2 linked regions of the Macaca mulatta genome follow. The protein of the gene in region 1 purifies or fractionates together with the protein of each later gene. This does not show direct contact. Links are inferred from orthologs where the notes say so. Each region holds a gene or a part of one and is shown on either strand. Other genes may lie near its edges. The genes, in order: EEF1G and EEF1A1.

Region 1 (4,441 bases):
GGCTGGCAACTGAGGCTCAGGTCACCCAGGAGCTGAGAGGACTGAGTGGTGGCGAAGAGAGGCCAGAAACTGAGCCCCTGCTGAGCTTTGTGGCGTCTGTCTCCCTGGCTGACCGAATGCTCACTGTGACCCCGCTCCAGGATCGCCAAGGCCTGTTCCCTGATCTCCATCATTTCTTACAGGTTTTCCTCCCTCAAGCACTTAAACATCTGAAGTGAAGACATGGCCCCTAAAGGGCAATAAAGCTGCTAGTTTATTAATACAGAGTCTCCCGTTTCCTTTCATTTCCATCTGGTCATAATGCTTCGCCTCCCCCAGAACTTCATGAAGCTGCTCTCCTCTGACCCCGAACATGGGTCTCTCCCTACTGCTCTCCACCCCAGCAGCCTCTCCTTCCTACAGTTCGCACAGCTTGCGGGGAGTGCGGGGGCAGCACCGTGCGTGGCACCTGGCACCCGCGCAGAGTTCCTGAATGGCAGAGCGGTGGGTGGCTGGAACAGTACTGAGAAGAGCCAGGTTTGCCTCCACATTCTTCCTGCCGCCTCAGATTAATGGGGACAAAGATGGAGATTTGCGTTCAGGGTTCTTCATTCTCTCCTTTAAACGAGGAGAGTTCATCCCGTTCTTAAACTGGGTAAGAGATTTCAAACCTGAACATGAGTCAAAAGCCATGAATATCAGAAGCGACGATGTCGGGTCTTCCAGCGTCAGCCCCTCCAGGGGCCGAGTCCGGAGGAGGCGGGAGGGACAGGGCGCGTTCTCCCTCGTGTCCCTGCCCTGCTTCGGGCCGGAGGGCCGGTGTCCTTGCTCGCAGTAACAGCACCCTGGAGCTGTAAGGGGTTAGATGTGAGCAAACGTCACTTTGGCAGGCGGGTTCAGACCGGGGCCCCTGTTAGACACTCATCCCTTTCTGGAGGAAAAGCAGAGCAGGAACTAAAGGATATAGCACACACACTGCCACCTCCGCGCAGCAGTCGTTCCTCGCTCCCATGAGTTTCACAGAATCATGTGAGGGGCTTGGCAGAACCTACCATCGAGTCACTCGTCCCTGGGTGGGCCAGAGGGGGACGCCCCCAGCAGCCTGACGGCGCCAGGCCAGCAGCGGCGCCACGTAGCCGAGAACCGGCGGCTTTTCCAGCGGGTTCTCACAGCTTCCCCGCCCTCCACGCTGTCTACCTCCACGTCTAGACTCCAATTGGTCCGCTGCACCTGAGGGGCGGGCCAGTCAAGATCTCCAATGCGCAGGCGCGAGCTTTTTCCGCGCTGGCCAGCAGGCCCCACCCACTCCGTTCTTTTTCCAATTCGGCGCCACTGGATACCGAACTGTCGTACGTATGTCTTCTGTGTCGTCCTCGCTTTCCGGCTGCTGTTTCTCCACGGCTCTCCCCTTTCCCCCTCCTTTCTCTCCTGGGCGGCTTACTTTGCGGCAGCGGGGAGAACCCCACCCCCTTTCTTTGCGGAATCACCATGGCGGCTGGGGTAAGTTTGCCGGCGCTGGTGGTTCGGGTCATCCTATCCACCGCCATCCTTTGCCCGAGTGGGGCCAGTCGGCGCCAGAGGAGTTCTGAGGCTGAATGGGGAACTGATTCTGGGTCTACAGACCGTACTGCTGGAGAGCAGGGTTCCTACGGCCTGGAGGGGAACTGAGGCTGGGGCTCTCGGAGGCCAGAGGTGGAAGGGTCTGGGGAAGAGGAGAAAAGGGATGCCGAATCTGGGCCGTCCGAAGCCTGAAAAAGGGGTTCGGCTCTATTGCCGCCTTGAGGCGTAGTATCTGGGTAGGTTGACGAACTTCTGTGACCGTTTTGTGGAGTAACAGCGGGGACAGGGTGAAGAGCGGGTCTTTGTAGGCAGGTCCGGCTGGCACGGTTAAAGGTAGTCTGTCAGGGAGGTTTGGGAGCGAGAGGATTCTCCGGACAGTGAAGTCAGACCAATTGGAGTCCGCTGGCCAGCTTAATAGAGAAGGCAACGCTGGGGAACTTGCTGCGGGACAGGACCGGAGGGATGGTATGCGCGACACGGAAAGAAAGGCTTTTGAGGGAGAGGAGTTGATTTAAGAAGACGGCATGCCATCCCCTATCTCTGGCCACTCTGAGAGGAACTAGAAATCTCTCGATCGTTGTGCGTTCCTTAGAGCAGCTGAGCAGTAGAGTAGGCAGGCGCTCGGAACCATCAATGAATGAAACGAGGGCTCCGTGAAGGGAAGGGAGTATGTTTGTAGGCAGATGGAGTCTGATGGAGCTAGAAGTTCTGGATTTCTTGGGAGATAGATTTGAGGGAAAGAGAATGCTTCTAGAGGTGTCCTTAGGGAAGGTCAAATCTGTCAACAAGCTTTATTTAGCAGTTGGTGTGTAGTTCTGTTCTTGGTATTTCGGAGGATTCTGATTACATATGACAAGTGTTAAAGGACTTGGTTCACCAGAGGAAGTAAAAGGGTGAGTTGAACACATTGGGATTATTCAGGCAAGTCATCCTGGGGAGTGGCATTTAGGACTGGGACCCTAATGCTCTTATTAATTTTGTTCCTCTCTTTCTTTCATAGACCCTGTATACGTATCCTGAAAACTGGAGGGCCTTCAAGGCTCTCATCGCTGCACAATACAGCGGGGCTCAGGTCCGCGTGCTCTCCGCACCACCCCACTTCCATTTTGGCCAAACCAACCGCACCCCTGAATTTCTCCGCAAATTTCCTGCCGGCAAGGTGAGTTGGGAGATGGGGAGTGTCCTTCGGTTCTGAGAAACGAAGGCCTGGGATTCTATCATTCTGGAGATGGCCCCCATCTCTAAAAGAGAGCTTCCCATGTTATTTTCTTCAATATTTCAGTGATTTTATTTTGAGATAAATGCAGATTCACATGTAGTTGTAAAAAAAAAAAAAGTACAGAGCTATTCTGTGACTTTATACATTCACGAGTTTACTTTGTGGGAAAGAGAATGAGTTTTGACTAAGCATTTTCAGTGCAAATGTATCAGATTGTCTGTTATGGGCAGGATTCTTACCCCAAGGGGTTTACAGAGATAGGTGAAAAAACATGCTAAGAATGGAGGAGATGAAGTACTATGTGGATCTGGGTCACACACTAATACTTGCACTGATACATTGATACAGGAGTTACTTTTGGTCTTCTGCTTGTTTGATCCAGAGATTTCATACAAATATCTTGTAATATTCAAATCTATTGTGCTTCCTAGTTAACATTGTGAATTCAGATTGCAAAGGATGCCCAGCTCTTGAAGTATTTATTTATGGTTCTTGAGTATCAGATAGTATGGAGAGTTTGGATAGTGAGGATCGTCAGTCTTACATAAGTATTTTTATCCAAAGCAGTTTGGCTTCTGGTATTGGGTAGGGAGAAATTTTGTGTGTTTTACCTTATCTTTTCACTGCTTTGTCCCCAGGTTCCAGCATTTGAGGGTGACGATGGATTCTGTGTGTTTGAGAGCAACGCCATTGCCTACTATGGTAATTTGCAGGGGTATATGGGAATGGGAGAATTTGGAGGTGAGGGTGTACAAGAGGGTGTGAGCGGGGATGGATATGAAGGAATTCTTCAGGACCTGGACTGGTGTTGGCATTCCCCCAGAGTTCTGACCTTTGTGTTCTGCCTCTGCAGTGAGCAATGAGGAGCTGCGGGGAAGTACTCCAGAGGCAGCAGCCCAGGTGGTGCAGTGGGTGAGCTTTGCTGATTCCGACATAGTGCCCCCAGCCAGTACCTGGGTATTCCCCACCTTGGGCATCATGCACCACAACAAACAGGTGAGCCTTGGAACTTTGGGAGAAGCCAGGGGCAGGGGTGGCCTTAGCTCCTGGGTGTTGGGAGTAAGAAATAAAATAGGTTGAAAAAAAGGTGCCAAGGATATATAGGCAATGAGAAGACGTACTTTCTGGGGTACAAGTTTGAAGTAGTGGGCAGTTGATGGAGGAAGTGTCTGTCATGAGTGGTCACAAGAGGGATTGCTGCTGTGAAGAGATTATACCAAATGGTAAAGGGGGTGGCTGGACCAGAGGACCTCTAAAGTTCCTTTATGATATATTTAGAATGATCCTAGGGTCTGTCTCCATTGAAAGAGGGTGAGGGTGAGCTCAGACTTCTAGGTGAAATAGCCTTCTTAGTTCTATTAATTGGGGAGGTGAGGGAAAGGGATTGGTACCCACTGATGAGTTTTATCATGTTGAATCACTAGGCCACTGAGAATGCAAAGGAGGAAGTGAGGCGAATTCTGGGGCTGCTGGATGCTCACTTGAAGACGAGGACTTTTCTGGTGGGCGAACGAGTGACATTGGCTGACATCACAGTTGTCTGCACCCTGTTGTGGCTCTATAAGCAGGTGAAGTTTATGGAGAATCTATTTGGCAGAGGGTAGATGGGGATTAGAAGCAAAGTGACAAGGTATCTATGTTACCCTGTATTCTGCTGAGGGCTTGGAAAACAGCTAGAGCTGG
Region 2 (4,564 bases), on another chromosome or scaffold:
TGTGGCAATCCAACACAGGGGCATAGCCAGCACTTATTTGGCCTGGATGGTTCAGGATAATCACCTTGGAAAAAAAGATTTGCGTTCAGTGTAAATCCAAAGTCTCAAATGACTTTAGCCTCTGCAATAAGGTAGGAACATGTTACTTTAAAAATTGTTACCTGAGCAGTGAAGCCAGCTGCTTCCATTGGTGGGTCGTTTTTGCTGTCACCAGCAACGTTGCCACGACGAACATCCTTGACAGACACATTCTTGACATTGAAGCCCACATTGTCCCCAGGAAGAGCTTCACTCAAAGCTTCATGGTGCATTTCGACAGATTTTACTTCAGTTGTAACGTTGACTGGAGCAAAGGTGACCACCATACCGGGTTTGAGAACACCAGTCTCCACTCGGCCAACAGGAACAGTACCAATACCTAAAAATATTTACAGCATACTAAATACCTATGAAGGAAGATAGTACTCTACCAACTCAAATTCAACTTTGTTGACACCCAACTTACCACCAATTTTGTAGACATCCTGGAGAGGCAGGCGCAAGGGCTTGTCAGTTGGACGAGTTGGTGGTAGGATGCAGTCCAGAGCCTCAAGCAGCGTGGTTCCACTGGCATTGCCATCCTTACGGGTGACCTTCCATCCCTTGAACCAAGGCATCTGAAACACAACCATGCCAATTTGTGTAAGCATGAAATCGCCATTCCCAGAGCTTTTTAACAACGGTCTTGAAAGCCACTTACGTTAGCACTTGGCTCCAGCATGTTGTCACCATTCCAACCAGAAATTGGCACAAATGCTACTGTGTCGGGGTTGTAGCCAATTTTCTTAATGTAAGTGCTGACTTCCTTAACAATTTCCTCGTATCTCTTCTGGCTGTAGGGTGGCTCAGTGGAATCCATTTTGTTAACACCAACAATTAGTTGTTTCACACCCAGTGTGTAAGCCAGAAGAGCATGCTCTCGGGTCTGCCCATTCTTGGAGATACCAGCTTCAAATTCACCAACACCAGCAGCAACAATCAGGACAGCACAGTCAGCCTTTAAAGAAAGCAAAGACATATCCCTGTCAACTCTCCAAAGGACAAAACCAATGCACAAGACAGGCATTTCAGGGAAAAAAAAAAAAAAAAACAACCTAGAATTATTAATCCCACCAACCTGAGATGTCCCTGTAATCATGTTTTTGATGAAGTCTCTGTGTCCTGGGGCATCAATGATAGTCACATAATACTTGCTGGTCTCAAATTTCCACAAGGAGATATCAATGGTGATACCACGTTCCCGCTCAGCTTTCAGTTTATCCAAGACCCAGGCATACTTGAAGGAGCCCTTTCCCATCTGTAAGGATTAAGAGTTGTTACTTGGTTACTAACACACAAACTCCAGCTTCAATTTCTTTGCCCCCAGCCCTTAATTGGCACATAGTTTCCACTTTACAACTGCAAGTCCTAAGCAATTTTAGTCACTTAGATAGGGTTACAGAAGCAACCAAAAAGCAAACTTTTTAAAGTAGGATCTTGACTATTAATATCCAAATCGAAACTACTCACTAGCAATACGGTTACAGAAGTAACCAAAAGCAAACTATTTTAATAAGTAGGGTCAGATCTAAACCACTCACTAGTTCTGGGGAAATCACTACCACTTAATGATTCTGCTGGTAAAACTCATTTTAGTTCATCTTTCCCATACCTCAGCAGCCTCCTTCTCAAATTTTTCAATGGTTCTTTTGTCGATGCCACCGCATTTGTAGATCAGATGGCCAGTAGTGGTGGACTTGCCCGAATCTACGTGTCCAATGACGACAATGTTGATATGAGTCTTTTCCTTTCCCATTTTGGCTTTTAGGGGTAGTTTTCACGACACCTGAAATGGGAGAAAAAAACTTTGAACCACTGTCTGAAGCTTGAGAATAAGCCAAGATCCAAATTCGAAAAGGGCAAATTCCAAGGAGAATTACATCGAGCGCCAAGCTGGCCTAACTCTTCAGTCTCCACCCACCAAGTGTGGGGAAACTCCACCGCACAAAACCCCTCCCCCAAACCTAAGGAAGACGTACTCCAAAAGCTCGGAGAACTAATCGAGGTGCCTGGACGGCGCCCGGTACTCCGTGGGGTCACATGAAGCGGCGACCGAGGAGGGAAAGGCCCTTTTCCTTTGTGTGGGTGACTCACCCGCCCGCTCTCCCGGGCGCCGCGTCCTCCATTTTGAGCTCCCTGCGGCAGGGCCGGGAAGCGGCCATCTTTCCGCTCACGCAACTGGTGCCGACCGGGCCAGGCTTGCCGACCAGGGCGGGGCGACACACCGCCGCGCGAGGCCCGGCACCAGAGCAGGACGGCCAGCTTGAGACTCCCCCCGTCCGACTCTCGGTGGCCGCGCTCGCAGGCCCCGCCTCGCCGAACATGTGCGCTGGGACGCACGAGCCCCGTCGCAGCCCGCGGCCCCCAAAACCCCAATATCAGTGTGCAGATCCTGGTCCGCATTTATAAGATTATCTCGCCAGGAAAAAGGCGTTGCAGCTGGTCATCAAAAATTTTAAATGGCTAGAAACTTAGTGAAAGCAGCGGGGCAGGCGCGAAGGTGCTACCAGATTCGCACGCGGCAGCCCCAGAGCCCAAGCCAGGCCTCGACTCAAGCACGAGGCGAAGGGACTCCTTAAGTGCAAGGCCTCGACCTCTCCCACCCACTTCCAACCCGAAGCTCGGGATCAAGAATCACGTACAGCGGCCAGGGGCGTGTAAGTAATAAAAGGCACGCGAGGGCCATAGCCCGTAAAGAGGCCAGGCCCGCAGGAGCCACACACAGTACTTACCTGTGTTCTGGCGGCAAACCCGTTGCGAAAAAGAACGTTCACAGCGACTACTGCACTTATATACGGTTCTCCCCCACCCTCGGGAAAAGGGCGGAGCCAGTACACGACATCACTTTCCCAGTTTACCCCGCGCCACCTTCTCTAGGCACCGGTTCAATTGCCGACCCCTCCCCCCAACTTCTCGGGGACTGTGGGCGATGTGCGCTCTGCCCACTGACGGGCACCGGAGCCTCACGCATGCTCTTCTCCACCTTGGTGATGACGAGAGCGGGCGTGTGAGGGGGCGGGAACGCAGCGATCTCTGGGTTCTAGGTTAGTGGGAGTTTAACGACGGTCCCTGGGATTCCCCAAGGCAGGGGCGAGTCCTTTTGTATGAATTACTCTCAGCTCCGGCCGGGGCGGGGGGGGAAGAGGAGGGGGAGGGGGAGGCGACGAGGTGGCGGCCTGGAAGGGACGTCCAGAATCTTTCCTCTACCATTGCTAGCTTAGCCCCAAAGGTTGTGTTGAGATTAGGGTGTACCTTCGCCCCCCAATCAGCCTCCTGTCCTCAGCCTTGCTATCTCGCTAGTCCGTGACAAATCCCTAGAGCGTCGTCTTCTGCCGGTCTCAGCCCAGCCCCGGGTTGGCTCCTCCTCCGCCCCGGCTTCCGCGCCCCTCCCGCGTGGCAAGGAGTACCAGGCCCGGGGACCCCGAGGGGCTTGGGGCGAAGGGTCTGGACTGGAGGACTCCTTAACGGCTCACGGACCTGCGAGAGGTTCGGCTCGATGGCCGTGAGCTCGACGAATCCGCTCCTGTGCTGGCCTCTTGGCTCCTTCCATTCAAAGCCAGCTGCTTTTATCAAAGCCCGTAACACGTCATCTCCCCCTGGTACTCCAGATGTCCAGGCTTTCAGTTTAGAATAGACTCAGTCCTACAGTTAGCTTTAGATCTAATTCTAGTTTTGTTACGCCAAAAAGTTCCTGCGAGTGTGTGTGTGCCTCATGGTACTTTTTAAATTAAAAGGTGTACAGTCATTTGATTGCAAACATAAGGAAGCTAAAAAGCTTTCAAATTCAGATTTTCCACGTGATCTCATGTAGAGACTAAGATCTACAGCATCAGCAAGTTTATCCACCCAGTTTCCTAACCCCAACACTTGCTATGAAGTCACAGCTTCTCCTATTTAAATAAGTGCCTATTATATTTAAATAAGTGCTTTCTTTTTCTGTCATCCTATAGATTGTAACTGCATTTTAGCATAAATCTAGGGCAAGATTGGATGAGCTTGGCCGTTTTGGATGGCTATCAAGACAGGCCTTGGGAAATGCTCCTCTGAGGAATGAAGAACGTTTATTTTTAATGAGCTAATTACTAGATCATTATGTTTCTTCTTCCAGCTGTAGAATATTACTGCCCAGCTTCTCGAACAAACTTATTTATTAACAAGTATTTGAGAACCTACTATGTGGCCAACGCTAAGTACTGTGGAGTTCCTTCTGGAGAGGAACCCACAATCAAATTGGAAGAGGAAAACAAGTTGGGAAGCAGTTAAAGGCAAACGCGTATGGTGCTTTCTTGGTTTTTGTATCTTTGTAGTATAAAGTTTTCCTAGTCCATTCGGTTTTCACAGTCCACTTTTTTTTCCTTCTTTTTTTTTTTTCCGGATGGAGTCCTACTCTGTTGCCCAGGCTGGGGTGCAGTGGCGCGATCTCGGCTCACTGCAAGTTCTGCCTCCCAGGTTCAAGCTATTCTCCTGCCTCAGTCTCCGGAGTAGC

What was found.
Region 2: the proteins of EEF1G (region 1) and EEF1A1 purify together in Homo sapiens (affinity purification with mass spectrometry; 5 studies listed by BioGRID and IntAct, counting the BioPlex papers as one, with this or other methods). This does not show direct contact. The link is inferred for Macaca mulatta from reciprocal best matches to the Homo sapiens genes EEF1G and EEF1A1.

What each region holds. Positions count from the first base shown.
Region 1 is NC_133419.1:11,492,505-11,496,945, forward strand, and holds the start of EEF1G (elongation factor 1-gamma), read left to right. Parts: upstream 1-1,458; 5' UTR 1,459-1,467; coding exon 1,468-1,479; intron 1,480-2,539; coding exon 2,540-2,698; intron 2,699-3,396; coding exon 3,397-3,460; intron 3,461-3,611; coding exon 3,612-3,754; intron 3,755-4,182; coding exon 4,183-4,326; intron 4,327-4,441. Other genes in the region: TUT1 (speckle targeted PIP5K1A-regulated poly(A) polymerase), read left to right, coding at 1-218. UniProt on the Homo sapiens protein: Probably plays a role in anchoring the complex to other cellular components.
Region 2 is NC_133409.1:112,150,818-112,155,381, reverse strand, and holds the start of EEF1A1 (elongation factor 1-alpha 1), read right to left. Parts: upstream 2,824-4,564; 5' UTR 2,811-2,823; exon of another isoform or gene 2,173-2,810; intron 1,865-2,172; 5' UTR 1,835-1,864; coding exon 1,691-1,834; intron 1,337-1,690; coding exon 1,157-1,336; intron 1,037-1,156; coding exon 740-1,036; intron 657-739; coding exon 506-656; intron 419-505; coding exon 162-418; intron 65-161; coding exon 1-64. UniProt on the Homo sapiens protein: Translation elongation factor that catalyzes the GTP-dependent binding of aminoacyl-tRNA (aa-tRNA) to the A-site of ribosomes during the elongation phase of protein synthesis.